7 linked regions of the Oryctolagus cuniculus genome follow. Each later gene encodes a partner of the first gene's protein in a complex. Links are inferred from orthologs where the notes say so. Each region holds a gene or a part of one and is shown in the gene's direction. Other genes may lie near its edges. The genes, in order: CC2D2A, TMEM107, TMEM231, TCTN1, B9D2, MKS1 and AHI1.

Region 1 (3,640 bases):
TTATTCCATCCCTACCTAACAGCAGACTTCACCTCTTGCCTCTACCCACTTCTTTCTAGTTTCAAACAGTAAGCAAATTTCTGCTGAGACAGAAGACAAATTGTCACTCTTCTACTGTCTTCCCAATACATCATAGCCAAAACCTTCAAAATGGCCTACAAAGCCTCCTTGATCTGACATCCACCCTGCCTACCCCTGCCTTCTCCCCTTCCTTTGCTGTTATCTTTCCAACGTGCCCACTCCTCTAAAGCCACTTTGTATTCCTTGTTATTCAACAATCAAACACACTTCGCATTTGCTATTTCCTTTGCATAAATGACCACCAATGCCTTCCCAATACCCCTCCCACCTTTACTGATTAGATTCACAAACTTCTCCCTCATTTCTTGCATTTCTGATCAAATGTCGGTTTTTTTTTCCCCCAGGAAAAATTCCTTGCCCATCAAAATTTCTTCTGTTCCTGCAACTTAGTTTTCTCCATGGCCTGTGCACATTTAATTATTATCATAATATCGTAAAAACCCAACTCCAAACTAAATGGCTTCAAGTATCTATTTTCATAGATTTGTGGGTTAGCTGGGAAACTTGGCTGCGGCTGAGCAGCTCTGCTTCATGTTTACTATGGAACTCAGGGCCCTGACAGTGGCAGAGGCACAACAGGGCAAAGCCCCTTAGCCTAGACTCAGGGGTGACACAACAACAAACCAAAGCCAAGTGGCAGGGAAGTGTTTCTCATCTTTCTTAATGGAAGCAACTGCAAAGTAACCTGAAAAAAGATAGCCATAGAGGAAGAGAATTGAAGCTAATGATACAATCTATCTTATCCTTCAACACCATCTATATCCCATGTACTTACTTGCTGATTTGTTTGCTGTATCTTTTTGAAGATTATTTACTTGAAAGAGAGGAAGAGAGAGAGCTCTTTGGTCCACTGGTTCACTCCACAAATGGCTGTAATAGCCTGAGCTGAGCTGGTTGGGAGCCAAGAGCTTCTTCTAGGTCTCTCACGTGGGTGCAGGGGCCCAGGGAATTGGGCCATCCTCCACTGTTCTCCAGGCACACCAGCAGAGAGCTGGATTGGAAGTGGAGCGGCCAGAACTCAAACCAGCATCCATATGGATGCCAGCATCACAGGCAGTGGCTCTACCCACAATGCTGGCCCCACATTTTTTTTTTTTTTTAAGTTCTATTTTATTTGAAAAGCAGAGTTAGAAAAGGAGAGACAAGAGATCTTTCATCTGTTGGTTCACTCCCCAGATGGCTACAACAGCCAAAGCTGGGCCAGACAGAAGCCAGGAGCTTCTTCTGGGTCTCCCACGTGGGTGCAGGGGCCCAAGTACCTGGACCATCTTCTGCTGCTTTAGCACATTAGCAGGGAGCTGGATTGGAGGTGAAACAGCAGAGACTCAATTCGGTGCCCTTATGGGAAAGGCAGCTTTATCTGCTGTGCTGCAATGCCTGCCTCCGATATATCATCTCATTACTCATTAGATACTTTTTTTTTTTTTTTTTTTTTGACAGGCAGAGTAGACAGACAGAAAGGTCTTCCTTTGCCGTTGGTTCACCCTCCAATGGCCGGAGTGCTGCGGCTGGTGCACCGTGCTGATCCGATGGCAGGAGCCAGGTGCTTCTCCTGGTCTCCCATGGGGTGCGGGGCCCAAGCACTTGGACCATCCTCCACTGCACTCCCGGGCCACAGCAAAGAGCTGGCCTGGAAGAGGGGCAACCTGGACAGAATCCAGCGCCCCGACCGGGACTAGAACCTGGTGGTGCCGGCGCCGCAGGCGGAGGATTAGCCTAGTGAGCCGTGGCGCCGGCCTAGATACTCCTTAGAACTGTTTCGTTCACTACTTAACCCGATTAATAAACCTAGGACTGAACACCAGTTAGATGAAAACTTAATCTGTGCTAGACATATCATTCAATATGACTAGAATATGCCACGAGGTAAGCTAGTGCTAAAGACTGAATGGCAAGTAACGCCTATGGTGAACATTCTCAAGGCGAAAGTTTAAAACAATAGTGAAGATGCAGATAAATAACCAGGCAGTTACAAACTGACAAATAATGACAGAACAGCTAATAGTTATTGAGCACTTACTACATATCTATGCATTATTCTAATAAGTACAGGTAAATCAACTCTGAATCGCTTAGCCTTATGAAGTAGTTGTTATTATTCCATTCTTATAGATGAGAAAACTGAGGAACAAAAGTTAGATAAATCATCCAAGGTCAGACAATTGAAAAGTGTTAGGGTCAAAATTCAAGTGCTTGTAGTCTAGTTCCACAACCAACATGCCACACTGCCTCAACAAGACAGGTGCGGAGGGCTGTAGAAACAAAGAGGTACACATTTAATTTTGGGAGCTGGAAAAGCAGGGTCAGGAAAGAAAACATGTACAGTCTATGTGTCCATACAATATGCACACACACCAGAGACGTGTGTGTATTTTGGTTAACATATATGCTAATATGGTATTGTTTTTTTAGGTTTGGTTTAATATTCAACAATATGATTCTCCACTAAGGATAAATTTTGATGTTACCAAGCCCAAGCTCTGGAAATCTTTCTTTTCAAGAAGCCTTCCATACCCTGGCCTTTCCAGTGTTCAGGTACAATTTTTTGTTTATTTTTAAAGATTTATTTATCTGAAAGGCCAAATTACAGGGAGCAGAGGTAGAGACAGACAGAGGTCTTCATTTGCTAGTTCACTCCCCAAACGGCTTCAGCCGGGCCAATCCAAAGCCAGGAGTCTGAAGCTTCTTCTAGGTCTCCCAGATGGGTGCAGGGGCCCAACGACTTGGGCCATCTTTTTCAGCTCTCCCAGGCCATAGCAGAGAGCTGGATTGGAAGTGGAGCAGCCAGGACTTGAACCGGCATCCATATGGGATGCTGGCACTGCAGGTGGCAGCTTTACCCACTATGCCACAGCATCTGCTCCAGGTATAATTCTTTTACTAATAATAATAGAATATAGAAAAGAAAATAAAGTGTATTATACTATGTAGCTATATTTTTCCCCTTAATCCCACTCCTGGGTAAGTCTACAACCATATTGGTTTTTCAAAGTTACCTGAGCTCCTCATATGTCTTTATGTAGATGTGAAAAGATCAATATGCATTTTAATGTCAAACAGTTTTGATATAAAAAATTCCCATAATACCACAAAATATATTCCATTTTTTTAAATGGTGATCAATTTGCTAATTCAGTTTCATGACTGCTAATCAAACATGAAATCAAATGTCAGATATGATCCCTTAGAGGCTTATAATTTAGAGGGTCCTGGCCAGTGGAAGACGGTAAGTGGTAAGCCTGAGTTGTTTACTAAAACTTTTCTTCCTATCAAACAAATCAGAATACACATGCATCTGTGTATCAAACCTTTAAAAAAAAAAAAAAAAACTTCAAAAAATACTGCCCTAGAGAAATTTTACCGTATGTGAGAAGATGACATATACAAGATTTTGTGAACTGGAATGACAGGAGAAAAATTGCTACATGCTAGAATGTTAGGAGTTAAAATGAATCAATATAATGAATCAGGGCTGGCTCTGTAAACAGGAAATGCCGCCACTTGTGGTGCCAGCATCCCACATGGGCACCAGTTCCAGTTCTGGCTGCTCTACTTCCAA
Region 2 (4,085 bases), on another chromosome or scaffold:
TCTGTAACTCCACTTTTCAAATAAAATAAATGCATCTTTTAAAAAAAGGTAGAATGAGAAGCTCGTGTGCGGCGGCGGTGTCGGCAGCGGCTGCAAAGAGAAGAGTTTGGCGCGATGTCTCATACCATTTTGCTGGTACAGCCTACCAAGAGGCCAGAAGGCAGAACTTATGCTGACTATGAATCTGTGAATGAATGCATGGAAGGTATTTGTAAAATGTATGAGGAACATCTGAAAAGAATGAATCCCAACAGTCCGTCTATCACATACGATATCAGTCAGTTGTTTGATTTTATTGATGATCTGGCAGACCTCAGCTGCCTTGTTTACCGGGCTGATACCCAGACATACCAGCCTTATAACAAAGACTGGATCAAAGAGAAGATCTATGTGCTCCTCCGCCGGCAGGCCCAACAGGCGGGAAAATAATGGAGTGGAAGCAGTAGGGGGATGGGGGTGGGCTTGGAACACAGGTGTGTACAGCGTGCTGTAGTGGGAGTTTTGTATTATAGTGATCCTGTTTCCACTTGGTACACTCTAGCCAGATTGAATGTATCAGATGAAGTGTGAGAATGTTGTTCAATCTGAAACCCCCATTGCCCCTTTTTTCTTTTCTTTTTCTTCCCTTTTTTTTTTTTTTTACTTAAACATTTTTATGAGGATTTAGATGGAATTTTTTTGTCAGTTAATGTTGGTTCCAGAGCTTCAGACTGTTGAGATCTGCTTTATAACAGTCACTGTACTAACCCTTAGAGATGGGGTGGGGGGTGGCTCAGTTTAGTTACATCCTCAAGGCAAACTCTTAGTGGAAAATAAATGTTCTTTAGTTATAAAAAAAAAAAAAGGTAGATTGAAATACACAAAAGATGTTAAAATCTATGTGGTCACCATGCTACTAAAAAGATCTAGTTGTGTTTGTAGGACACTACTGAACCGGGATTCTGAAAACTGGCAAATAATGGAAAAAAAAAAAAAGGACCCATTTATCCTGCCTTTCCTGTATGACTCGTATCTCATGGAAAATTCTTACTGATAAAAGAATTCTAGCTGGTAGATGCAGAAGAGGGCTCGAATTAGGCCATCCCCATTTTGCAATCGCTATTGAAATCATGCAGTTAGGCAATGAGGACCCGTGGTACCATTAGGTGAGAATGGATGAAGAATTTTATCACGGGTGGCTCAGCCTGACCGCACCCGAAGCCACCACTCAGACTTCAGCACCACAGACAGACAGACACACAGACAAGCAGGATTCCTGATGAGGTGAACAGAAAGTACAAACCATCCCTCGGGATGTGATCTTACCAGAAAACTGAATGACACATAGATCAACCATTAGACCTGACCATCAGTTTGCAGGAAACACAGTGCCAGGAGAGAATGAAATGACGCCACACGTGGCCCAGTATCTTCAGCAAGAAAAGAAGGAAGGTGAGGTGATGGGGAGGAGGGCAAACCCAAGATTAACAGAGATTTCAGACATGTCAGCCAAGTGGACTTTATTTGTACCCCAATGCACACGTGTGGGGTTGTGGTGGAGGGGAGGGGGCAACAAAGCTGACCACGTGCTGACAACTGTTGAGGCAGAGCAGTGGCCCTCCCAGGGGTTTGTTATACTGTTTCATTTTTACGTTGTGTTTGAAATTTCCTAGGATGCCAAAAAATGAAAAGTTTGCAAGTTCTTTTGTCACCAATTCAAATGCTGAGATACCGAATCCAGCCCTGGAGTGAGTGGCCACCTACGGGAGGACAGCTGGTCACCCGCAGCACAGCCCATGGCCACCAGCAGGCTCTAAAACCCAGGCAAGAAACGACTTTCTCTGAGGCAAGTTTCTATAAACCAAGGTTGTGGACAAGGACAAAGCAGACATAGGCTGCCCACTCCCTGTTCATGAGTCCACACCTAAGGACCTGAGAACTCGGTTTGTACTGTCTAGCCCGTCTCCTAGGCAGAACGCCTACTGAGCAGAATGCTCCAAACCTCCAGCTGTTGAACGCAAAATCCTTGGGTCACCTTGACTCTCCCTTTTCCTCACCCACCCACAGGCCCCGAGCCAGACCCTCTCCCCAATCCTTCTGCTTTGCTCCATCGTCTTTGCTTCACCCTGTCCTTTCTGGATACTTCTATGGCTTCCTCGTTAGTCTCTCCATATTGCAACCTGGGTCGTGGAGAATACGAATCTGACCACGTCGCGCCTGGTGGCTGCAAGGCCTGCCGCGACCACGCTCCACCTCCTTTTGGGCTGCCTACCACTAGGCTTTGCAGTGCAGGCTGACTTGAAGGCTGGGGTTACTCTCCTCAGAAGCGGGGAGGGAAGCCCCTTGGGTGTGCGCAAGCAGCAGGGGTCTTCCTGGAGCCCGTGCGGCCGGTACCTCGGAGACCCCGGAACCAGAGCTGAGCCTTGCGTCCCAGGCAGCTCCAAACCTCCTGTGCGGGACGCTTCGTCCACGCTCGCCCTGTCCAGTCCCGGCGGGGCCGTCCCTAGGCTGAGGCTGCCACCATCTTCTGCACTATGCAAATCCCTCACCGAACCCGGCAAAGATGTCTGGGGTGCTCCGACCACCAAGGGCTCCGTGACAACGGGCCTGCCGGACAAGGTAGGTCCAGTGAACGTTCCACGTTGGGCTCAGGGCACAAGGAAGCTACGAGGACGGAAAGGGAAGACCGCGTCTGAGCCTCCAACCTAAGACCGGCACGCCGGCCGCAGCAGTCCGCGAGCACCTCCTCCGCGGACAGGCCATTCCCGGCAATGCAGCCTGGGGCCGCGCCGCTCCGGACCTGAGCAGCCAGCGAACCCCCGGACGTAGTCCTCCGGTTAGGAGGCTGGCGGCCGCAGCGGGGTCCCCGAACACGGCGCACTTGCACGACGGCGGCTCGAGAATTTACGGCTCTCGCGAGATCTTCAGAACCCGAGGCGCACGGTCCGCGTACGCAGTTACCAAGGCAACGGGGCGGCCCCTGAGGCGCGCGAAGGCCGCGGGCCGGGAGAGGTTTCCCAGCGCCGCCGCCCGCGGCCCTGAGGAGCATGAGCCGGATCTCGGGGCTCGTGCCCTCCCGCTTCCTGACGCTGCTGGCGCATCTGGTGGTCGTCATCACCTTATTCTGGTCGCGGGTAAGACCCACGGCCGCCACTCCGCGTCGCCATCTCGCCGTGGTCGCCGCGCCCACCCCGCCCGGGGTCTCAGCCGGCCTCTCTCACTTCCTTTCCTTTTCTGCCCGCTCCCCAGGACAGCAACGTCCAGGCCTGCCTGCCCCTCCGATTCACCCCCGAGGAGTATGAGAAGCAGGACGTGCAGTGAGCTCTTGGGGGGGTGGGGGTTCGAAGGAAGAGGCGGTGGGAGTCCCGGAGGCCGGGGGTCCTGAGCCGCTCCCCTTCCTCTCTGCAGGCTGGTGGCCGCCCTCTCGGTCACCCTGGGCCTCTTTGCCGTGGAGCTGGCCGGCTTCCTCTCAGGAGTGTCCATGTTCAACAGCACCCAGAGCCTCATCTGTATCCTTTCTGCCCCCACGACCCGTTTCCAGCGCGACTCCCTTCAGCGACCCCCTTCCCCCCAGGAGCCCCGCCTCTGCTTAGGCAGTGCAGGGATTTGACACAATCCTCAAACAGTTGTGGATGCCGCTGTGCACCGGGCCCTGGAGGTAAATGGGGGTGAGGCGGAGGCAGACACACACACACACACACACACACCCCACTATCCTCTAGGAGGGGGTAAAAGAGCCAAGGATTGAGGGAGGCGCTTGACTCTCCAGTTGCGGGCCTCCTGGTGGAGAGTGATTCCAGCAGAGAGGATCAAGTCGCTGTCCGCATTCCTGTGGGGTCCATGGGGGCCTGCTCTGACCTCCCCTCGGGGGTGCAGGCTGGCCCCTCCATGTGGGGTGAGGGTAGCCTGGGGTCTCGGCAGTGCAGGCTCAGCGCAGGCCGCTACACGTGGGCCTGTTAAAATCAGAAGGCAGGGCTGCTGACTCCCGCCGTCGCACAAGGCCTGGGAGCTCCACCACTGGCCTGCCATAGCCCGTCGCTGTTGTGGCCCCAAGACTTTCCTTGACTCCTGTGTGTCGCCCACAAGCCATCGCAGCGCACTGTAGT
Region 3 (4,097 bases), on another chromosome or scaffold:
CCACTACACCACAGCACCGGCCCCCACACTGACTCCTGATCCTGCAACTGGAGTCTTCAGGGCCTTTGGATGGAGAACTTGGCTGTGGACCATTGGTTTTATTATTTATTTTTCTTTTTTTTTGTTGTTTGCTTACTTTTTTTTTTCTTTTCCTTTCTTTTGGATCATAGGTTTTAAAAATCCTTCCACCCTGTTCAAAATACTGGCTTGGCAGAGAAGGCGGTGGGCAATCAATTAGCAATAAACCAATGTTATCTTTGGGAAGTACGACTTAACCCACTGGGGCAGCACTGTGGTGCAGCGGGTTAAGCCACCATCTGCAGGGCCAGCATCCCTTGTGGGTGCCAACTGAGTCCTGGCTGCTCCACTTCCAATCCACTTTCCACCTGGGAGAGCAGCAGAGGAGGGGCCAAGTGCTTGGGCCCCTGCACCCCAGTGGGAGACCCAGTTGAAGCTCCTGGCTCCTGTTTTTGGCCTGGCCCAGTCCTGGCTGCTGCGGCCATTTGGGGAGTGAACCAGCGGATGGACGATCTCTCTCCCCTTCTCCCTGTAACTCTTTCAAATAAATTATTAAACCTTAAAAAAAAAAAAAAAAGGCTTAACCCACTGCACAACACGTCCCAGAGGGGAGTGCCAAGTCCCAGCTGGTCGGCTTCCACTCCAGCTTCCTGCTCGGGCATCCTGGGAGGCAGATGATGATGGCCCAGATATTCAGGCCCCTGCCCTTAAGTGGGAAACCCAGAGGGAGTTCCTGGCTCCTCGGGCCATTTGGGGGAGCGAACCAGCAGTTGAAAGATCTCTGCCTCCCTCTGTCACTCTTTCAAATAAATATTTTTAAAAAGAAATGTATCTTGTTTAGTAGCTCCCTCTGAAACCGGCAGCCGAACCTGCACCCAATACAGGTAACAATGTACGTAGTAATGACCCTGCCCGCCCCAGAGCCGAGGGTTTGGGTCCTGTGCGCTGTCCTGCTTCCGGAGCCACAGAACACAGAGGCGGAGCAACCCGGCCTTGGCCTTCGTCCAGGACCAGGTCGAGGAGCGAGGCCACGCGTGTGCGACCTGCGGGCATCAGCGTGGACCACTCAGCCGTCCTCAGCCGTCCCGAAGCAAAACACGCAACGCCCCCCTCTCGGTGGCCCGTCCACTGGCTGACCACGCCCCTCTCCAGGTAGCTCCGCCCCTTCTAGAGGCCCGCGCCGCTACTATTGGTCCTCCTCCCGGCGCCGCCGGTTGCCGTGGAGACCACGACGATGGCAGCCGGGAACAGCCAAACTTGGTCGTCCCTTCTCGGTTTGCGTAGGGGTCTCGGCGTGCGCCGTCCATGGCGCTGTACCAGCTCTACTCCCACCCGGCCGAGCGCGGCTACCGCGCGGGGCTCTGCTCCAAGGCAGCGCTGTTCCTGCTCCTGGCCGCCGCGCTCACCTACATCCCGCCGCTGCTGGTGGCCTTCCGGAGCCACGGTGAGCTTGCTAGGCCGGTGCGCGCCACCGCCTCCGCTCGGGACGGCCTGCCTGACCTGTCCCCCTCTCCCTCTCACGCCCTTCTTCTCTCAGGGTTTTGGCTGAAGCGGAGCAGCTACGAGGAGCAGCCGACCGTGCGCTTCCAACACCAGGTACTGCTCGTGGCCCTGCTGGGACCGGAGCGCGACGGCTTCCTGGCCTGGAGCACCTTCCCCGCCTTCAACCGGCTGCAGGGGGATCGCCTGCGCGTCCCGCTCGTCTCGGTGCGTGGCTCCCGCCTGGAATTCCGCTTCCCCCAGACGCCCAGGTACCCGGGCAGCGCTGCGTGCTGACCCGGGCCGGGCACGGTGCGCGCTCGGGGTCCCGCGGTGTCGCCGCGTTCACGCGGCGCGGCGGAAGCTGGGGGTCGGGGGCGGGCGTCTCCGGGCAGGACTGACCCTCGGAGACCGGGCGCCCCGCACCTGTTCCCCGGCAGGGCCCCGGCGGAGGGAGCCTGCCCCACGTGATCTCAGAGGCTGCTCCAGCGTGCATCTGTCCGGGGTAAAATTGAGACTTTTTCTTTAAGAGGGCCGAAACTTCTAGTTTTCCTTCTTCCACGTCCTTGAGGTGAGTGGCCTACAAGACAAACTCGTGTAAAAAATGTTCCCAGCAAAAAGATGATAGGTCGTATGAATAACTAGAAAGTTTGTTACAGATAGTTTTTCTCTGGTTACTTCTGAAATTTATTGGCTTTTTTTTTTTTTTAAGATTTATTATGTATTTGAAAATGAGAGTTGCACAGAGAAAGGAGAGGCAAAGCGAGAGAGAGAGAGGTCTTCCTGATGGTTCACTCCCCAGTTGGCCGCAACGGCCAGAGCTGCACCGATCCAAAGCCAGGAGCCAGGAGGTTCTTCCAGGTCTCCCAAGTGGGTGCAGGGGCCCAAGCACTTGGACCATCTTCTACTGCTTTCCCAGGCCACAGCAGAGAGCTGGATCGGAAGTGGAGCAGCCGAGTCTCAAACCTGCACCCATAAGGGATACCGGTGCTTCAGGCCAGGGCGTTAACCCGCTGCGCCACAGTGCCAGCCCCTATTGACTTATTTTAATTAGGAAAGTACCCAGTTTCCCACGTCGGTGTCAGGGGCCCAGGTACTTGGGCCGTCTTCTGCTGCTTTCCCAGGAACAGTGGCAGGAAGCAGGATTGGAAGTGGAGCCGCCAAGACTTGAACCGGTGCCCATAGGGGATGCTGGCGCTGCAGGCAGAGGTCAAACCCACTGTGCCACAGCACTAGCCCCAGGTTTTTTCTCCACATGTTTATATTCCTCTCTATCATGTGCTTCTGGTCATTTGAGTCTAAGAAATACCATGCAGGCTTGAGATAATTGTGAAGACAAGGATAAACCATTAAGTTTCATTCATTCATTGTTTTTACGGGTTCGTGCAACACAGCTGCTGTTGGCCTCTTAGCTCTGCAACCAGAAACCAACCACTCCCTTCAGTGCACCGCCCTGGTCCCCCCTTGCATCTGGCGTGCAGTTCCAATTTTAATGAGAAGCCAAAACTAACTCTTAATGTTTATGGTACCCATACCATGAGATCACTTTCATACTGGGTAATTTTGGGGCTGGCACTGTGGTACAGCGGGTTAAAGCCCTGGCATTCCATATGGTCACTGGTTCGAATCCTGGCTGCCCCACTTCCGATCCAGCTCCCTGCTAATGTGCCTGGGAAAGCAGTGGAGGATGGCCCGGTGCTTGCGGCCCTGTATCCATGTGGGAGACCTGGAATAAGCTTCTGGTTCCTGGCTTCAGCATGTCCGAGCCCTGGCCATCGTGCCATTTGGGGAGTGTACCACCGAATGGAATTTTTTTTTTTTTTTTTTTTTTTGACAGGCAGAGTGGACAGTGAGAGAGAGAGACAGAGAGAAAGGTCTTCCTTTGCCGTTGGTTCACCCTCCAATGGCCGCCGCGGCCGGCGCGCTGCGGCCGGCACACCGCGCTGATCCGATGGCAGGAGCCAGGAGCCAGGTGCTTCTCCTGGTCTCCCATGGGGTGCAGGGCCCAAGCACCTGGGCCATCCTCCACTGCACTCCCTGGCCACAGCAGAGGGCTGGCCTGGAAGAGGGGCAACCGGGACAGAATCCGGCGCCCCGACCGGGACTAGAACCCGGTGTGCCGGCGCCGCTAGGCGGAGGATTAGCCTAGTGAGCCGCGGCGCCGGCCTCGAATGGAATATTTTCTTCCCCTACCCCCTACAGCCAGTGCGCCACAATGCTAGCCCTGGTTCTTAATTCTTTTTTTTTTTTTTTTTTTTAGATTTATTTATTTATTTGAAAGTCAGAGTTACACAGAGAGAAAAGGAAAGGCAGAGAGAGAGAGAGGTCTTCCATCGCTGGTTCCTTCCTCAATTGGGCACGACAGTGAGAGCTGCACCAGTCCAAAGCCAGGAGCCAGGAGCTTCTGCCAGGTCTGCCACACAGGTGCAGGGGCCCAAGGACTTGGGCCATCTTCTACTGCTTTCCCAGGCCACCGCAGAGAGCTGGATTGGAAGTGGAGCAACTGGGACTCGAACCAGCACCTGGGATGCCGACCCTGCAGACGGTAGCTTTACCTGCTATGCCGCAGCACTGGCCCCTAGACTCTCAACCTTTGTTAC
Region 4 (3,640 bases), on another chromosome or scaffold:
GGTGAACCAACGGCAAAGGAAGACCTTTCTCTCTGTCTCTCTCTCTCACTGTCCACTCTGCCTGTCAAAAAAAAAATTTAAAAAAAAAAGGGGGGGGGCAGTTGAAGGCCACAGGCCGGTAGTCTCTCCCTCTCCTGGGCCGGGTGGTGGGGCCCCGCAGGGAGTGAGGTGGGCAAGTCTGGGTAGGAGCCTGGGTGCTGTGAGCAGACTGGCCTGGATCTGTAATACTGAGTTTGCCGCATGAGCAGTGTTGCCTGTGGCCAGCAGTTTGGAGGTCGGAACCTCTTTCCTGTGCAGTGGGAATGACAGTCACAGTACAGACCTGGCCCTTGTCGGGAGGGGGAGCTCGTTTGGTCCCTGGCACAGCAGCTAGTGTTCCTTTCCTAAATGGGGCTGCTGCTGGCCATCCTGGTGGTACGGGTCGGCCATTCCTAACCTGGACTTTGAGTGCTGATGTAATGCCACAAGTGAGAAATCCCACACCTTGTGATGGGCTGCAGGTGCAGGGCAGGTGTTTGGCCTAGCAGGTAAGATGCTGGTTAGGATTCCTATAGTCTGTATTAGAGCGCCTGGGTTCAAGTCCCGTGTATGGCTCCCGATGCTAGCTTCCTCCTGATCCAGACCCTGGGAGGCAGCAGGCGATGGCCTAAGTGACTGAGCCCTGCCATCACGGGGGAGCCTAGCTGGAGTTCTAGGCTTCTGACGGGCCTGGCCCGGCTTTACCTATTGTGGGTATTTGGAGAGTGAACCAGCAAACAGGAACTTTCTCTGTGTCTCAAAAACCAAACAAAAGAACAGGTGCAGTAAGAACATGATATAAAATTACCTTCAGCTGCGTTTGAGGTGTATATGAAATTGTGTTTGGACTCGGCTCCTATCCCCATTATGTATATGCGGCCGTCCCCCAATCTGAAACACTGGTAGGGGCTACTCAGCAAGCACCGCGACTTTGTCCCTGTTTGCGGGTGTTAGGTGAGCCTCCGGGCATCTTGGGGTGCAGTAAGCTGCATGTGAGGCCTGTCTCCAAGGTGGCGGCTTCCTCCCATCCACATCGCCGTCCCAGCCTTTGTTCCTGTTCCACAGCGCAGCCCACGCGTGAGCTTTTAATTCCAAAGTTCCCCAAAGGGTTTAATGGAAATTGACTTCCTACAAATAGGCTCCTGGGCACGTGTGAGTCTTCTGCCCACCTTTTCTTTTGTCTCTGCCGTCAGCGCGTGGGCCGGGCCCTGTCCATCACCAGAGGCGCACTCCCCAGCTTATCCCCTAATCACCCAGTGTTTCTCTGTCACAGTTCCTCGGGCTCATTATCTGCTTAGCACATGTATAGCAAGGGCGCCACGGGGTGAGGACCAGCTCACGAGCTCCGATCCTGCCCTCCCCCGCAAGTCTCCAGCAGAGACCCAGGATCACTCAGTCCTGCTGACTCCTGTCCTTCTCTGCTGCCTTGGTGAACGCAGCCAGTTGCCGGCCTCTTGGCAAGCTGGGAAGACGTCCTGTTCTTTTTTGCCCTCCAGAAGGATGGCAGCTTGGGAGGAGGGGCAGCAGCGCAGGGTGCTGGCCAGGGTGTTCCTGGCTTTGGCACCGCTTTGGCACCTGCCAGCAAGTGGCCAGGGTGCTCCGAGGGCCTGCAGTGGGTTCTGTTCCGGCCACGTAGGTAGCAGCTGCATGAGCGTCTCCACACTTCTGTCACCCACTGCCTCCTATCCGGATGGCCTGATACACCTAGGGGTTGCTGGTTCATTGCCTAAATGTAAATGGCCACAACAGCCAGGGCTGAGCAGGCTGAAGCCAGGCGCCTGGAACTCCATCCAGGTCTCCCACGTGGGTGCAGGGGCCCAAGGACTTGGGTCACCTTCCACTTCTTTCCCAGGCACATTAGCAGGGAGCGACATCAGAAGTGGAACAGCTGGGACTCAAATCAGCGCTCATATGGGATGCTGGCACTGCAGGCTGCAGCTTAATGCTGGCTCCATTTGCTTGCAAGTTTCTTTTCAGATTTTATTTGAGAGGTAGAGTTACAGGGAGAGAGGTCTTCCATCCACTGGTTACTCCCCAAATGGCCGCAATAGCCAGAGCTGGGCTGATCTGAAGCCAGGAGCTTCTGGGTCTCCCATGTGAGGGCAGGGGCCCAGGCAATTGGGCCATCTTCCACTGCTTTCCCAGGCCATCAGCCAGGAGCTAGATCAAAATTGGAGCAGCCGGGATTTGAACCTGTATCCATATGGATGCTGGCATTGCAGGTAGAGGCCTAACCTACTATGCCACAGCACAAGGTTCTTAAAGGCAGTGCCTTGCGGGCAGGTGCCAAAGTCAGGAAGCCCACTTAGCCACTCATGTCCTGAGGTGTGTCTAAAACAATCTATATCATGGAAAAATTCCAGGCACACTCAGAAGTAGCACAGTGTAACAGAGTCCCCATCTGCCCGTCAGGCAGCGTCAACAGATACCACGGCTGCCCGCTGAAGCAGGAGGGAGGTCTGGAAGGCACACTTGCCTGTTTTCCCTTGGGGCTGACCAAGCAAAGAGCCTGGGGCAGAGGCCACAGATCCAACTCCTGTAGTGTTGAGCCTCAGCTCAGGCAGCTTGACCACGGCAGGCTCAGCGCACGTGAGTGGTTAGTGTCTGACAGCACACGAGCACTGCCCACGTATCCAAATATCACAGTGCTGCCTACTGAAGAAATTAGGAAACAAAAATAAGAAGCCAGCCCTTGGGTTTCCGCTCAGCGCATCTTGGCACGATGAGCCTTCAGGTTCTGTTCTGTGAATACCCCCATTCTCTCCTGGCCCCTCGTGCCAGCCAGCCTCTCGCAGTACCTGCGAGGCAGACAGCTGAGAACAGGTAGCTGAAGGCCCAGCAAGCTGTTAAGGCCCCAGGGTTCCCTAGCTGGCTTGGGGTTGCCGTGGCTCCCAGCAGAAGCAGGAGGGGATGGGAAGGCACGCTCTCGGTGTAGAAGTGTTTGTGCCTGAGCTTCCCATCTATTCATTCTGTTGTTCAGAACACCTTGGATGTGTGAAACATCTCCTAATCAGAACTCTGAACTGCAGGTTCAGTCTGAGGTTGTGCAAGATTCACACTGATGAGTGGCGTTTTGTTCTGCAGGATTCTTGCCAGCTCCCTGTGGCTCTGGTTATAGAAGTGAAGTGGACTAAATACGGGTCCTTGCTGAACCCACAGGCCAAAATCGTGAACGTGACCGCGCGTCTCCTCTCCTCCTCGCTCCCTGAGGTGCGTCTCCCTGTAGCCTCGAGCAAACTCAAGTGTGGCTGGGGAGTTTTAAAGGATTGTAATTTAACAATTTGGATGCTGAGAGAAATTCAAGTCATTCTTTGCCTTTTACTTAGTTTGAGCATGGTTTTATTTGCATTAGTATTCTTGTTTAGACTTGATATTGGATGTCAGGACAACCTGAGTAAAATGGTCCCTCACAGGCAGCTTAGTGGCCAAGCAGCCCTTTGTGTCCATCGGCCTCGCCAGCAGGCAGTGGTTGAGCGAGGGAGGGAGCGAGAGATCCCGTGTGTTCTCCTGGGCGCAGGCCGGGGGCAGGACTTGCATCTGCCTTTTTGCTGCAGACGCACTCAGGAAGTGAAAGGACGACTCTTCTCTCCACTGCGGTCACCTTCATGGACGTGTCTGCACC
Region 5 (4,314 bases), on another chromosome or scaffold:
CCAATTGGCTGCAACGACTGGGGCTGACCCGATCCTAAGCCAGGAGCCAGAAGCCTCTTCCGGGTTTCCCACGTGGGTGCAGGGGCCTAAGGACTTGGGCCATCTTCCACTGCTTTCCCAGGCCACAGCAGAGAGCTGGATCGGAAGTGGAGCAGCTGGCCTTGAACTGGCGCCCATATGGGATGCCGGCGCTGCAGGCCCTGGCTTTAACCCACTGCACCAAAGTGCCAGCAGGTAGTTTGATTTTTTTTTTATTAAGTATTAATTTAAAAGGCAGAGTGCCAGGTGAGAGAGAAGAGAATGAAAAAGGAAATCTGCCATTTGCTGGTTACCTCCTCAGAGGGGGCAACATCAGGGCCTGGACCAATTCAAAGCCAGGAGCGCGTGCTGCATTCCGCCCTCCAAGCTCCTGAGTCCACTGCCTGCTGTCTGCTCAGACGCACCCCAGGAATCTGGGACTCAGCGGGCGCTCTGAGGTGCAGGCGCCACCAAGCCGGCCCCTGCGGGCCTATTGAAGACATCCATAGACGGTGACTCCTTCAGTCTGGAACAATCCCACAAGCTGGGTGCTGTCATTCACCCTGATGGGGGACAAACGGGAATAGATGCAAATGACGCTGGCCTCAAGTCTTCATGAAGCAGAAGCCCTGTGTACCCCACCCCGTGTGTCCGCGAGGACCAGGACCTGACGCCCTGCAGTCCTCGTTACCAGGGCTGCACGGAGCAGGCACGCACGACCGTGGCGTTCCCAGCTGTCTGTCAGGAACCTTCTTTCTCGGATGGCGCTACCTGTGTGCATGCTGTCCTGTGCACCTTGCTGCCTCCCCGGTCCTCCACGTGTGCAGCCCCCGCGGTAGGAGGCGCGGCTGGGCGGGACTCCCGGTCCTGAGGACCAGGCTGCCCTGGACGCGGAGGCGGGGAGAGGCGCTCAGGACCTCAGGCGCCCGCGTGCACCCGCCCCACGGCCCGGACCGCTGGGCCCGGGGACGCCGCTCGCTCACAGCACTGGCGGCGAACGTGCAGTCGCTGGGAGGGCCCGGACCGCTGGGCCTTGAGCAGCCTGGGGAACTCCGCAAGGGAAGGGAAGCCCCGCCCCAGCCTCTGAGTGTCTGAGAAGAGGTTGTTTCCGAAGTCGAGGCCGGGGGATGCACAGAATGACCCGAGGGAATTCCCCCGAGCTCAGGCTCAAGTCTCTCATGTGGGGTTCAGGACGGGAGACAGGTGTTCTTTAGGGGGAGGAGGCGGGCCGCGAAGCTTATTTTGACACATTTCCTGGAGAGGCTCTGCAGCACAAACAGTCGGCGCTCAAACTTCCCGGCCACACTCAAGATGGCAACTGCCCGACCACGCCCCCAACGGCGGATCCCGGGGCCGGGGCTTGGGAGAGGCTACGGAGAGATGTCCATCACGGCATTGCCCCGCCCCCGAGGACAGCGAGCACCAATCGGCCGCGTGCAGGGCGGGGGCAAGGCCAGGGGAGGAGCCTGCTGTTGTCCCAGCAACGGCCAGGGAGCCTGAGGCGAGGGCGGTCGCGGAGGTTCGCGCCTTAGCGCCCTTGCTGTCAGGGAGGTCCCACGGGAGGCGCGAGGCCGGCGTCGCTGGCGCCCGCGAAGAGGACGGAGTCGGCCCAGAACCAGCATCCGGCTGCCGCATTCGCTCCCACTAGCCGTTAAGCTCTGTGAGGTAGGAGTGACGCATGCGCAACGAGTAGGGGCGGGGCCGAGGTGTTCGGAGGCGGGCCTCGATTCAATACGCATGCGTCGTCGAGCCTGTGGCGGGGCTATCAGCCGCGGGGAGGCGGAGCTTTGATGGCTGTGGGTGGAGCTCTCGGCCCCTTAGCGGGACTTAGCCAGGTCAGGAAGAGGTTTAAGGAGGGCATAGTTAGGCACCGGTTCCCAAGTCTAGGGCTACTCCCCCCATCTCCCGGGGAGACAGAGTCGGTGGATAACTCTGCATCCTCAGAGGGTTGACAAAACCAGGTTGGTGGCCTTCTGCCCCTTGCTTGGGCCTCAGTTTCCCTACTCAGAGCTGATTGTTTCTTTTCCCTCCCAGCGCCATGGCTGAGGTGCACGTGATCGGGCAGATCATGGGGGCCACCGGGTTCTCGGAAAGTAGCCTCTTCTGCAAGTGGGGCATCCACACAGGTATTCCCCCCAGGCCTGGTCACTGCCCACCAAGACCCCGCGCTCTCCCTGGACCCTCCGCCCCACCCCGGGTCCTCCTCTCCCCATGGGCTTTCAGCACTCCCGGCCCTGGCCAAGGCTGGCCGCGTGAGGCCCGCACTTCCTTCCTGCCCCGTCTCCGGGGACCCTGGCTCCCACCCTCGGCATGCATGGCCATTGACGATGATGGGCTAGGGGGAGACCCCATCCACACGCTTCATGTCAGAGCGCTCCTGTTAACTCCACTTGCTGCCTTGGGGGTGTGTCCTGGGATCCTCCCCAGCTTTCTCGTTCTTTGACTAGCAGCCTCCATTTATTGAGTTCTTACTGTAAAGTAGAAGTTTGCACCCCAGACTTACAGAGGAGAGGCCACATCCTGTCGTCAGAATGCCTTTCGCTCTGAGAAGGCAGCAATCATCCAAGTCCACACGGCCCAGCAGGGACTTGGAGACCCAGTGTTTCTGTAGGTCTGCATGGAGGCCAGACCTTGTAGAGGTGCAGTGTGATGGCCAGGGTCATAGGCAGCCACATCTGGGTTCAGATACTAAGTCCCCATGTATGTATCTGTGGCCTCTGGACTTGACCTCTCCAGCCCTCGGTCTCCTTGTCTGAGAGGAACGGCACGGTGTGGATAGCAGCTGAGAGGCGGTGTGGCGTCGAGGTTAGGAGCACAGACTGCCTGGGTCCTAACCAGGTGTTTATGTTTTTTAAGGTTTATTTATCTATTTGAAAGGCAGAGTTACAGAGGCTGAGGCAGAGAGAGAGAGAGAGAGAGAGAGAGAGTCTTCCATTCGCTGGTTCATCCCTCAAATGGCTGCAACGGCCAGAGCTGAGCGAATTTGGAACCAGGAGTTGTTGGGTCTCCCACGTGGGTGCAGGGGCCCAAGCACTTGGGCCATCTTCTCCTGCTTTCCCAGGCCATAGTAGAGAGCTGGATCGGAAGTGGAGCAGCTGGGGCTCAAATGGGGCCCATGTGGGAAGCTGGCACCGTAGACAGCCTCTTATTAATAGGTGACGTTAGGGCCTTGTTTGTGCGTCTGCTTCCTTGTGTGCACATGGGAGCAGTAACAACGTGTGCCTCGCGGATCTTTGCCAGGCCTAGGGGAGCATGCGCAGCACGCAGAGCAGGGCTGGCTGGTGCTGTGTGCCTGGCTCGCGGGTGACTCCGACAGGGTCCCATTAGTGAAGCCCAGGCACGTGGCTGCCCAGCCCCAGTAACAACCTATGAGGTAGACGTGGCTGCGTCTCGGGCTTGGGTCCCTTGGACCTGACTTGGATGGGTGAAGTCGCAGGATCAGAGTCGGGCTCAGGAGTCAGACTCCATGTCTACCCGGGACCCCAGCACTCACCTGCTCTGTGATCCCGGGCTGCTGTCCTTTTCTTGGGGCTGTTTAAGTAATCTTGTGTCTACGCAGCCTGACTCAGGGCTTCCCTCACCAAGGCCAGAGGGAGTCATGCTTGGCTTTTATTATCGCAGGTGGCTTTGGGGCATTGAATCCAGCAGGGAGCTCAGAGACAGTGGCCGAGGGGCCTGGTCGCTGCAGTTGGACATTTTACAGACTTCTGCGCTTGGGGATCTTTGGGTGCTGTGGTCACTGCTGTATCCCCAGAGTGGAGAACAGGCTTGGCATACCCTAGGTGCTCAATAAATGTTCATGGAATAATTAACCAAGTGACTTCCTTCTCAGAGCCTGTTTCTGTACTTGGAAAATGGTAATCATAGCACACATAGCTTCTAGGGTCACTTAATTGTCCCAAAAAATATGTATCGACCACCTTCTGTATACCACGCACTGGGGATCCCGCCATGTGCATGGGCCAAGCTCTCCTGAAGCTCATTCTACGAGCGTCAGACACTATATAAGCCGCTGAAGAAACTTAACTCAGTGATTTCCAGTGGCGACAGTGCTGGGGAGAGAGAGAGGCAATGGCTATAGAGGGCGGGTGTTTAGCTCGGGGTTAGGACCTGCACATCCCGCCGCACACCTGGCTGCTGGCTTAGCTCCCTGCTAATGCCAGCCCTGGCAGGCAGCAGGGATGGCCTAAGTGACTGGGTTCCTCCCGCTTACGTAGGAGACATGGGTTGTGTTCCCAGCTCCCAGCTTCAGGGTGGCCCGGTCCCGGCTGTTCCAGGCGTTTCAGGGAGTAAACC
Region 6 (4,428 bases), on another chromosome or scaffold:
TCAGAATTCTAGGGAAGGGGTTCATGGACCCATTGAATCCTATTCATGAATCTCAATTTTAAGAATTCTGATTTATGGAAATCAGTAAACAAAGAGAAAACATAAAGACCCAGTTAACCTTTAAAAACATAGTACTAAGTATGGTTAGTTACACCAATAGCTTATATTTCTACACCATGCAGTACAGTAACTAGTTTACATGTAATTATGTCAGACTGACTTTCCTAGGTGGTTAGGCTTCAAAAGGCTGGAATCCTAATGCTTTTATCACTAACTAGAGTGAAGCCTTAGTGAATTCTTAAGCCCTTGGCCTTCACTAACTTCATCTGTTAAATGGGAATAAGGGGCCGGTGCTGTGGCATAGCGGGTAAAGCAGTTACCTGCAGTGCCAGCATCCCGCTTGGGCACTGGTTCTAGTCCCGGCTGTTCCACTTCTGATCCAGCTCTCTACTGTGGCCTGGGATAGCAGTAGAAGATGGCCCAAGTCCTTGGGCCCCTGCACCCGCGTAGGAGACCTGGAAGAAGCTCCTGGCTCTGGGCTTCAGATCAGCAGCTCCAGCCATTGCGGCCAACTGGGCAGTGAACCAGTGGATGGAAGACCTCTCTGTCTCTCTGCCTCTCCTTTTCTCTGTGTGTAACTCTGACTTTCAAGTAAATAAATAAATCTTTTAAAAAAATAAATGGGGATAAAAATGGACTTAGGGTTTCCATGAGGATTGGGAACAATGCCAACAAAGTTCCCAGGCTAAATTAGCTCCTACCTAAATGGTGCTATTTATGGAGAGTCCTTGGCAAGGCACAAACAGCAGCTATGGCACCCCAGGTGTTCAAGGCCATGCAATCAAACTGATTCCTGAATTCAGGGGACAACTGCTAACCCTGTTGGGGAAGTAGCAGATGTTAAAGGGAGCCAGCTGAGGTTAGGGCATGTCCTGAATGTCACTCTGTGGGCTTCTCAGAGGGCCAGGGCAGCACAGCAGTTAGTTTAATAATCTGGAACTAACACACAGGGGAGGAACCTGTGCCATGACTACATCTCTTCTTTCCTGCTGCTGTCTTCCTTGTTTTAACTGTTGGCCCTCCCTGTTTTTTCCTTCTCTGGCCCAGAGAATACCAACACAACGACTAATAAGTAGGACACCCGCACCCCCCCTCCCCCGCCCCTTGAAGAATGTGCGTTCGTGTCTGGGGAGTGCCACCACCTTCCCTGATTCCTTTGGGATTAATGGGTGCATTCTTTCAGTCTCCTCCGCCCGTTTTTCTTGCGTTCAGCGGAAGACAGTACGGCACAGTGGGAAAACAGGTCTAGTCTCATCACCCTGCATTTACGCCAAGTGGGCTGACGGCTGTGCCTGGCCCCTCATTTGTACAGCGCCTTAAGTCCCGCCTCAGGAGTGAGTGATCCTCGTTCGCACAAATGGTAAAGCGGACATTCGCAGGCTCCTGCACTGCCCGCTCTGGGGCGCTAGGGGGCGACGCCGCGGCGGGAAGGGCGGGTTGCGTGCGTAGCGTCTCCGCCCCAGCGTCTGCGTTGCCAGGGGAACTGGGGGCGGTGTGCTTTCCGGCGCAGTCGTTGCGCGTCGCAGATATCATGGCGGAGACCGTCTGGAGTACTGACACCGGGGAAGCAGTGTATCGCTCCCGGGACCCTGTGCGCAACCTGCGCCTCCGGTAGTCGCGCCGCCCCAGCCCGGGGTGCTATGCTTTTATGCCCTTCGAGCCTGAACTTGTCGTTCTTCTGAGGCCCCCACTTGCGCTTACAATCCCGATCTTCCTCCCTGGTCTCTCTACATCGCTCTGCATTCCCCAGATCTTCTGTACGTAGGGCTTCCAAGCTCGCCTTCCACACCCAGCCAGGTCGTTTCAAGGCCTGTCGCTCTCCGATTCCTCAAGCCCTGGCTCCGCAGTAGTCCTCTCACCCTCTCTTCCCCGTAGGGCCCACGCCCCACCCGGCGCCTGCCCTGTGTTTTGTATTTCCCATGCTTGCTCTGCGTTGTGTGTGTTGTAACGCGTATTCGAGCTTCTGTTTTCTTCACAGAGTCCACCTGCAAAGAATCACCTCAGGCAGCTTTCTTCATTACCAGCCTGCGGCCCAGCCTCGGAAGGACCTCATAGACTTGGCCACCTTCAGGCCTCATCCCACTGCCAGTGGGTGTCACGGTGGAGTCGCAGCCCCCTGGGGACCTGGGCGAGGGAGGGCCTGGGGGGTAGAGGTTCCCGTTAGGACAGAAGAGACCCAGGCCTGTGGTGTTCAGAGAAAGCTGCACCTTTTTTTTTTTTTTTTTTTTTTAAGTATTTTTATTTCTTTGAAAGACAGAGTTACAAAGAGAGGTAGAGACAGAGAGAGGTCTTCCATCTGCTGGTTCACTTCCCAAATGACCACAATGGCCAGAGCTGAGCTGATCCAAAGCCAGGAGCCAGGAACTTCTTCCAGGTCTCCCATGCGGGTGCAGAGGCCCAAGGACTTGGGCCATCTTCTACTGCTTTCCCAGGCCATAGCAGAGAGCTGTGATTGGAAGAGGAGCAGCCGGGACACGAACCGGCACCCATTTGGGATGCCGGCACTGCAGGCTGGGGCTTTAACCCACTGTGCCACAGCGCCGGCCCCAACTGCACCTTTCTTACCTAGGAGAAATGGAAGGCAAAGAGATTGTGTTGCTTGCCTAAGGTCACATAGTTGGAGCCTGCACTTGAACCAAGGTGGTGTTAACTACTTCATCGTGTTATTTGTGGAAATTGAATAAGATACGATTCCTGCTATCAAGATACTGAGGCAAATTGTGGTCCAGTATAGTGGCAAAAGACAGATAGCGTATATCTGATGTTATAAATGGGCCTGGCAACCGTACCATTTATGGCTTTTTGTTCGTTTGTCTAAGAAAGATATGCTCAAACTCTACATATGCATGTAAATACTTTTAAAAACAATTTTACGATTGAAGACTGCTTGCAGACTGTGCGTTTGAACACCCACAGTGTTCTTGTGGTTCTCCTTATCTGGGAAGCCATAGGTGTGAGGAACAGAGGCTGGTGCTTGTATTGGGCCATTAGTGTTTCTGCCTTTTGTTTCTCTGCACTCAGAAGTATTCCTCTGTGAAATGGGGGTTTTGAAGCTGTGTCTCTGAAAAAGATACTCACCCCTGGAGTGTGTTAGATCTGGTTCTTTAACAAATCATTTATTTGCCTTCCCTGCCCTCTCCTGACACTTGGTCTCTGACATGATTGTGATTCTAGCTGTATGGCTTCAGGAACAATTAAAATGAAAATGCCAGGGTTCTTACCTAGCAAATGCAGGCAGCTGGCATTGAAGAAGAGCTGGCTGGTCAACCTATATCCTAGGCTCAGTTCCTGACAATGAGTTAAATTGACTACTTCCTGGAAGGCAGAACTACATTTTATTCAAATTAGAATAGTGATTAAGACTTTGTGGGTTTTAATCTTGGCTTCAACTCCTGCTAACTCCAGTGTATCCTTTGTCTACATTGAATGCTTAATAAATCACTGAACTCCTGCTGGTTTTGTGGCAAACATAAGAGTAGGGGCTTTGGTTACAATCAACCTCAGAGCAAGAAATGGTGGTGACGTAACTCTGTTGTCTTTGCAGGTGGACATCGCCCAGAGGAAGATGAAGATGAGGAGGTGGTCATTGGGTGGCAGCAGAAGCTCTTTAGCCAGGTGAGCCGGTGTCGTTCACTGCGTGGTCTCCCTCCACCTGGCTGGTTGTACATTGCCAAAGTGATTTCTGGGATGGTCGTAGCAATTTGTACCTCCCTCTGTTGTGTTTACAAGGGCAGTGTAATATAGTGACCGCCACCGCTCAGTGTTATGACCCTGGGTGAGGCACGTTTCCCCACCGTGGACCCTACGCCACCTATAACAATGCGGTTGGACTAGAGCTTCACCCCTTTGCTCTCTAACATTCTTGGGTCCCCTGCCCTCCATTGGTTTAAATCTATGAGAATTAATTATGGAGCTATGTCAGATAATATCAGCTCTCTAGGACTGATTTGGTAGTAGTTCTAGGATCAGAATTTTGAGGTATCTCGGATGTCTGTTTCCTTGTGGCGACCTCAGTTTGAAGTAGATCTGTACCAGAATGAAGCAGCCTGTCAGAGCCCTTTGGATTACCAGTACCGGCAAGAGATCCTGAAGCTGGAGCAGTCGGGGGGCAGGAAGAACCGACGAATCTTTACCTACACCGACTCTGACCGCTACACCAATTTGGAGGAGGTATTGTTCTTCCCAAGGCCCTGTAGCTTCCTTCTTTGCCTCCCCTGGCTTTTTGGCTTCACTGGGTTCTGGGTGCTAAATCGGAAGCCTGGCAAGGGAGGAGATCCATAGGCTGTCTGGAAACTGCCGTGAGCTGCTGGCAGCCAAGCTGAGGCAGAGTGGGCAGAGTGCAGGTGGTGTGGCTGCTGCTCCCGTCTC
Region 7 (4,390 bases), on another chromosome or scaffold:
AAAGACAGAATGCACATTGGTGTAAGAAGGTGCCTACAGGCATCTTACTCAAACACTGGGAGGATGATGGCAGGCTGAAGAGATTAAAGCAACATAAAAAGCCAGGAGTAGGTTTGCTGGATAGGAAGGTAGACATTAGCCTATGGGAAAGGGCCCAAACAAGAAGTACATGTGGAAAGGAAGGGAGCAGCCTTAGAAGCAAGCCTTGGAAGGCACCCAGTGTTTCCAGAAAGTCCTATCCATATCTGACAACCTTGTAGGGGTTGCCAGCCTTCCCTCCGGAGATCTCTCAGGACACTCTTCCTGGCCCTTTGCCAAGGTGGCTCTTAAATCTGGCAATAAAACCTTGCGAGGAATTTCACGAACTTCACCCCCAAAAAACCATTTGCCCAGCAATATCTGCCCCCTCGCCCACTCCCCAAAAAGGGAGCGGGAAGGCGACACAGCAGAAAGGGACCCCTAACTCACAGTAACCCCAGTCTGCATGTAGGCAATGCACTTGGTTTCTTTGGCGAGCCGAGCTGCCCACCATCTCGGATGAACTACCTCGTGAAACTTGGCTAGCTTGCTTACCGCTACTGTCTCCCACCTGAAATTCTTTTCTTACAGGATACACAAAATTCTTCCAGCCAGTTTTGGAGGGAAAAGTAGCACAGTTTGGTAATATTTCTTTCTCATCGCCTCCTCAGAGGTTCTGGAGAAACACTTGCCATCATTTATAAGATGCAGTGATGCCAGTGAGAATGGAGAAGCTGGCAACCAGAGAAATACACAAACTCTCTGGCCCTACAAATGAGGCAACAGGTTTCTGGTGCGTGGCTGCCAACTGCAGAAAACGGCCTCTCACTAAGCGTGGACGAGTAAGGCGTCTGGTGTTTTTCCATCCCTGGTGACTCAGAACCAAAGATGGCGCCTGTGGCAGAAATCTGCAAGGTGGGAGGGGGTCATCAGGTGTAGAAAGATGACGTTTTAATTTCTGTTCTACTTTCAAGGCAACTCAGCGCCAGACAAATCGTGGATAAGTTTTCCCGAAGACTCTGGAGTACAACTCCTCATTCTCCACGCTCTCAACGCGCGTTTCACTTTGTGGGGGCGACCACGTGGGGTGCGACAAGTCTGTTTCTTGGCTTCCTCGCTTCATTCATTCAAGGTTCCTATCTTGGGCGGCTTCCAAGACCGCCTCCCCGCCTGCTTTTGCCCCACTTTTTCCCGCGCTTGCTTTTTTCCGGACGGAGGCCAAGCTCCGGCGGCTCTGAGGCGGCACCCGCGCATTCCCGCCTCCCCTCTGCTGGCCTGGGGATGAGATTCCTGCCCCTTCTAGAACCGCGGAGGCGCGGCCCCGGGGCGCGCGCCCGGCGGCAGGCTGAGGGGCGCGGGCAGACAGGCACTGCAGCAACTCCGGGCCCGCGGCGGAGGCGGAGAGAGCCTGGGGGCGGGGCCGCGGGAAGGGCGCTCCCGCAGGGCCCCCGTCCAGGCCTGGAGCCGGGCCGCATTGGTTGTCATGGGAACGGCGGCGTAGGCCGGCGCTGACGTCACCGGCGGCGCGCTGCCCGCACTGCGGCACCGAGCCCGCTCTCAGAGCCGGTGTTGCTGGCGGCTCCCGAGGCTGCGTAGGCTCCTCGCCCTCCCTGCTTGGGGCTGGGAGCCGCTTCGCGCCGCCCGGGGTGTAGGCTTGTGCGGGAGACGCGGCTCTGCGCTCTGGGTGAGTATCGTGTGGGTGCGCTGGTGGCGGGAGCCCGGACCCGGGTGTTCGGCCTACCTACCCCGGCCCCTCTGGAGGGGTGGCGGCGTTGGGGGCTCCCTCTGCGCCTCCGCAGGCCGAGCGGCCCAGAGCGGCCCAGCGCGGCCCGGGAAGGGGGCGACTTCTCCGGCGTCGGAGCGTCCGGCGTGCTGTTCCGATGCTGCCTCTCCCAGCCCGGATTCTGGCTCAGATGCGTAATAAGCGTGTTTATTTCCTTATAGAGTGTCAACCTGGCGCTGAATGTTGAACCTGTGAAGTGCCTTCTTAATGACACCCAGAAAAGGTGACGGATACGTTACGTTTCTAAGAAAAGAGTCAAATTCTGTTAGAGGCGTTTTGATAAACACAGAAAGGGGATGAGAGCCTTCCCGAGTGTCAGCGCGGCGTGTCAGCCTTAACCGGGAAAGTGGAGACAGGGCTTGCTCTTCTTTGGAGAGAGAGATGCTAACAGTTCCTTCACCTGTTGCGTTTACGCTCGCTGTTATTGCGAGCAAGAGCGCCAGTTAGGAGGATTCCGGGACGTGTTTAAAAGTCTCTTTGGAAGAATTGCAGATGCCACAGGTGTCTGAAACCGCATTTAGGATCTTTATGAAGGCGATTGTTGATTTACTAAGGGTTCTGATTTCTGTTCCTCCTTGGTACAGGTTTGGAGCCGGAGTGAATTCTGCGAGCCTGTCTGCTTCTCCCTCCCCCTTGATCTGTAGTCACATATTGGCTGCTGATCAGGTGGTCAGGGAGAAAGACGAAACGTAATCTCGGCTAAATTTTGCTACGCAGTATCTCTTAGAAGCTTTTGTGAAAGGGTTTGTGAGGGAGAAATGTTAACATCACGGGGTATATGAGATTTGGGAATATGTTTCCAAGTCAGACTTTAAATTTTGAAGCTGTTACTAATCAAATATTAATCATTAATTCTTCTAATGTGTTTGCTGTACATACTAAATAACATTTAGAGATGATGACTTGTAATGTTCTGTTATTAAATAGTATCTCTTATTTCAGTGGTCATTAAAATATTAAATGATAGTAAATGTAAATACAAAATTTACTTAATTGTGTATTGTGTAATTATTTTTAAAATAATTGTAGACATCGAGCACCTGCAGTTTACTGATTATGTTGTTTTCTGATATTTCTTTTTCTCCTTATGATTAAAATAGGGGCCACTTTAGTTTCCTAGACAAGGAAGAAACCAAGGCTTAATGAAACTGGCTTACCCAAGGCCACATGAAGTAGCATGACAGGAGCTCAAGCCTGAGTTTTTCCTATCTGGAGCCATAATTGCTGCCTTTTAAAAATGGAGATACTTATATAAAGATAGTGCAGGCTTGTTCTTCCAAAAGCCAGTAGTTGGGGGAGGGGGTTGCGGGATAGAGGGAGCAGCCAGTTTAGAACCATTTGTGCCAGGGTGAAAAGGGAAGTTGGAAGATCCAGCTGTGCTTTGGGGGAAGGTGCTCCCCAGGGAAGGTGCCATTTGCATTTAGTGTCAGAGTGTCAAAGCAGGGCAGGCTTTTCTCAGGAGAGAAGTGGGTATGTGACCTGCTACAAAGGCAGGAGAGAGTTTGGCGTTGGTCAGGCCCTGCAAGTAGTTTCACGTGGCTGGAGCCCAGAAGCTGTGTGAAGGTGTGGCGGTGAAGGGGCTGTGAGGAATGGCAAAGGATCCAGTCATTAATAGTCGTCTTCTCAGTGGTAAGGACTTGCCAGTGCTTTCCACCAGTCGATTGGGAACTGGTGAGGAATTTTAAAGCAATCACACACCACCATCACCTTTGTGTTTTAGAAAATGATCCTGAATGCAGTGCAGAGGGGTGGAGGGGAGGGTGGTCATGAGAAGCCTGAAAACAGTCTCAAGCAGACATCAAAATCCTAACAGTCTTTTCACCCCTGAAAGCTACTGCCTCATACTATTGCATCTCGAGTGGGAAGAAGACAGTTGGAAGCAAAATTCTAGAAAGAATTGCCTGCGTACCTTTACCGCAGGTCTTGCCTTTCATTCCTCAACCTGTGGCTCCCAGCTGCTGCCCCTCCATAAACAGCTTTGGCACACGTGACTTCATGATTACAGATCCAGCGGGCACTCCCAAAGTGTGCAGCAACTGTAGACACCACACAGCATAGACCTTTCTGAAAACTCTTTCCTTCTGTGATACTTTTCTGTCCCTGTGTTTCACCTACCTCCTCGTTCTAGAATTCAATCTTTGGCTTTTTATTTTCTTGCAACCATTGTACAAATATCTATAAATTATTCCCAAACCATCAGCCTAGGTCTCCTGCTGGATTAATGGATTAATATATTATTTTGCCTCCCAAACATAATATGATTATATGTCCTTTGTGTTCTCTCTCATATATATGTATATATCACACAGTAGTAAAGCAGCTCTCTCTTGAAGCATGTACCATGCAGTAGGCTTTGTGCCAACAGTTTTCCTTGCATATACTCATTTAATCTTTACAAAAACCCAGTGAATGATATTATTATTCTCTTTTGAAAGATGAGGAAATTGAGGTCCTTGTCAAATGGAGCTGGAATTTGAACCAAGGACCTGACGGTGGAATTGATGTTTGTAGCTACTTGGTGTCCTTCAGATACACAGCTCAAACTGCCCCACACAATCCCCTTAGGAAGTTCCTGTTAAAATTGTAGCT

The links.
Region 2: CC2D2A (region 1) and TMEM107 share a complex: the UniProt entries of both Homo sapiens proteins name them as parts of the tectonic-like complex. The link is inferred for Oryctolagus cuniculus from reciprocal best matches to the Homo sapiens genes CC2D2A and TMEM107.
Region 3: CC2D2A (region 1) and TMEM231 share a complex: the UniProt entries of both Homo sapiens proteins name them as parts of the tectonic-like complex. The link is inferred for Oryctolagus cuniculus from reciprocal best matches to the Homo sapiens genes CC2D2A and TMEM231.
Region 4: CC2D2A (region 1) and TCTN1 share a complex: the UniProt entries of both Homo sapiens proteins name them as parts of the tectonic-like complex. The link is inferred for Oryctolagus cuniculus from reciprocal best matches to the Homo sapiens genes CC2D2A and TCTN1.
Region 5: CC2D2A (region 1) and B9D2 share a complex: the UniProt entries of both Homo sapiens proteins name them as parts of the tectonic-like complex. The link is inferred for Oryctolagus cuniculus from reciprocal best matches to the Homo sapiens genes CC2D2A and B9D2.
Region 6: CC2D2A (region 1) and MKS1 share a complex: the UniProt entries of both Homo sapiens proteins name them as parts of the tectonic-like complex. The link is inferred for Oryctolagus cuniculus from reciprocal best matches to the Homo sapiens genes CC2D2A and MKS1.
Region 7: CC2D2A (region 1) and AHI1 share a complex: the UniProt entries of both Homo sapiens proteins name them as parts of the tectonic-like complex. The link is inferred for Oryctolagus cuniculus from reciprocal best matches to the Homo sapiens genes CC2D2A and AHI1.

The regions. Positions count from the first base shown.
Region 1 is NC_091433.1:10,626,642-10,630,281, forward strand, and holds part of CC2D2A (coiled-coil and C2 domain-containing protein 2A), read left to right. Parts: intron 1-2,493; coding exon 2,494-2,616; intron 2,617-3,640. UniProt on the Homo sapiens protein: Component of the tectonic-like complex, a complex localized at the transition zone of primary cilia and acting as a barrier that prevents diffusion of transmembrane proteins between the cilia and plasma membranes.
Region 2 is NC_091448.1:52,667,151-52,671,235, reverse strand, and holds the start of TMEM107 (transmembrane protein 107), read left to right. Parts: upstream 1-1,206; 5' UTR 1,207-1,431; intron 1,432-1,652; 5' UTR 1,653-3,026; coding exon 3,027-3,113; intron 3,114-3,228; coding exon 3,229-3,291; coding exon of another isoform or gene 3,292-3,296; intron 3,297-3,387; coding exon 3,388-3,488; intron 3,489-4,057; coding exon 4,058-4,085. UniProt on the Homo sapiens protein: Plays a role in cilia formation and embryonic patterning. Requires for normal Sonic hedgehog (Shh) signaling in the neural tube and acts in combination with GLI2 and GLI3 to pattern ventral and intermediate neuronal cell types.
Region 3 is NC_091449.1:57,934,723-57,938,819, reverse strand, and holds the start of TMEM231 (transmembrane protein 231), read left to right. Parts: upstream 1-1,220; 5' UTR 1,221-1,323; coding exon 1,324-1,462; intron 1,463-1,555; coding exon 1,556-1,725; intron 1,726-4,097. UniProt on the Homo sapiens protein: Transmembrane component of the tectonic-like complex, a complex localized at the transition zone of primary cilia and acting as a barrier that prevents diffusion of transmembrane proteins between the cilia and plasma membranes.
Region 4 is NC_091452.1:8,301,027-8,304,666, forward strand, and holds part of TCTN1 (tectonic-1), read left to right. Parts: intron 1-3,102; coding exon 3,103-3,228; intron 3,229-3,572; coding exon 3,573-3,640. UniProt on the Homo sapiens protein: Component of the tectonic-like complex, a complex localized at the transition zone of primary cilia and acting as a barrier that prevents diffusion of transmembrane proteins between the cilia and plasma membranes.
Region 5 is NC_091449.1:13,268,668-13,272,981, forward strand, and holds the start of B9D2 (B9 domain-containing protein 2), read left to right. Parts: upstream 1-1,455; 5' UTR 1,456-1,683; intron 1,684-1,757; exon of another isoform or gene 1,758-1,979; intron 1,980-2,052; 5' UTR 2,053-2,056; coding exon 2,057-2,144; intron 2,145-4,314. UniProt on the Homo sapiens protein: Component of the tectonic-like complex, a complex localized at the transition zone of primary cilia and acting as a barrier that prevents diffusion of transmembrane proteins between the cilia and plasma membranes.
Region 6 is NC_091448.1:33,643,649-33,648,076, reverse strand, and holds the start of MKS1 (tectonic-like complex member MKS1), read left to right. Parts: upstream 1-1,514; 5' UTR 1,515-1,591; coding exon 1,592-1,671; intron 1,672-2,038; coding exon 2,039-2,148; intron 2,149-3,604; coding exon 3,605-3,675; intron 3,676-4,074; coding exon 4,075-4,230; intron 4,231-4,428. UniProt on the Homo sapiens protein: Component of the tectonic-like complex, a complex localized at the transition zone of primary cilia and acting as a barrier that prevents diffusion of transmembrane proteins between the cilia and plasma membranes.
Region 7 is NC_091436.1:33,406,590-33,410,979, forward strand, and holds the start of AHI1 (jouberin), read left to right. Parts: upstream 1-1,563; 5' UTR 1,564-1,702; intron 1,703-1,962; 5' UTR 1,963-2,024; intron 2,025-4,390. UniProt on the Homo sapiens protein: Involved in vesicle trafficking and required for ciliogenesis, formation of primary non-motile cilium, and recruitment of RAB8A to the basal body of primary cilium.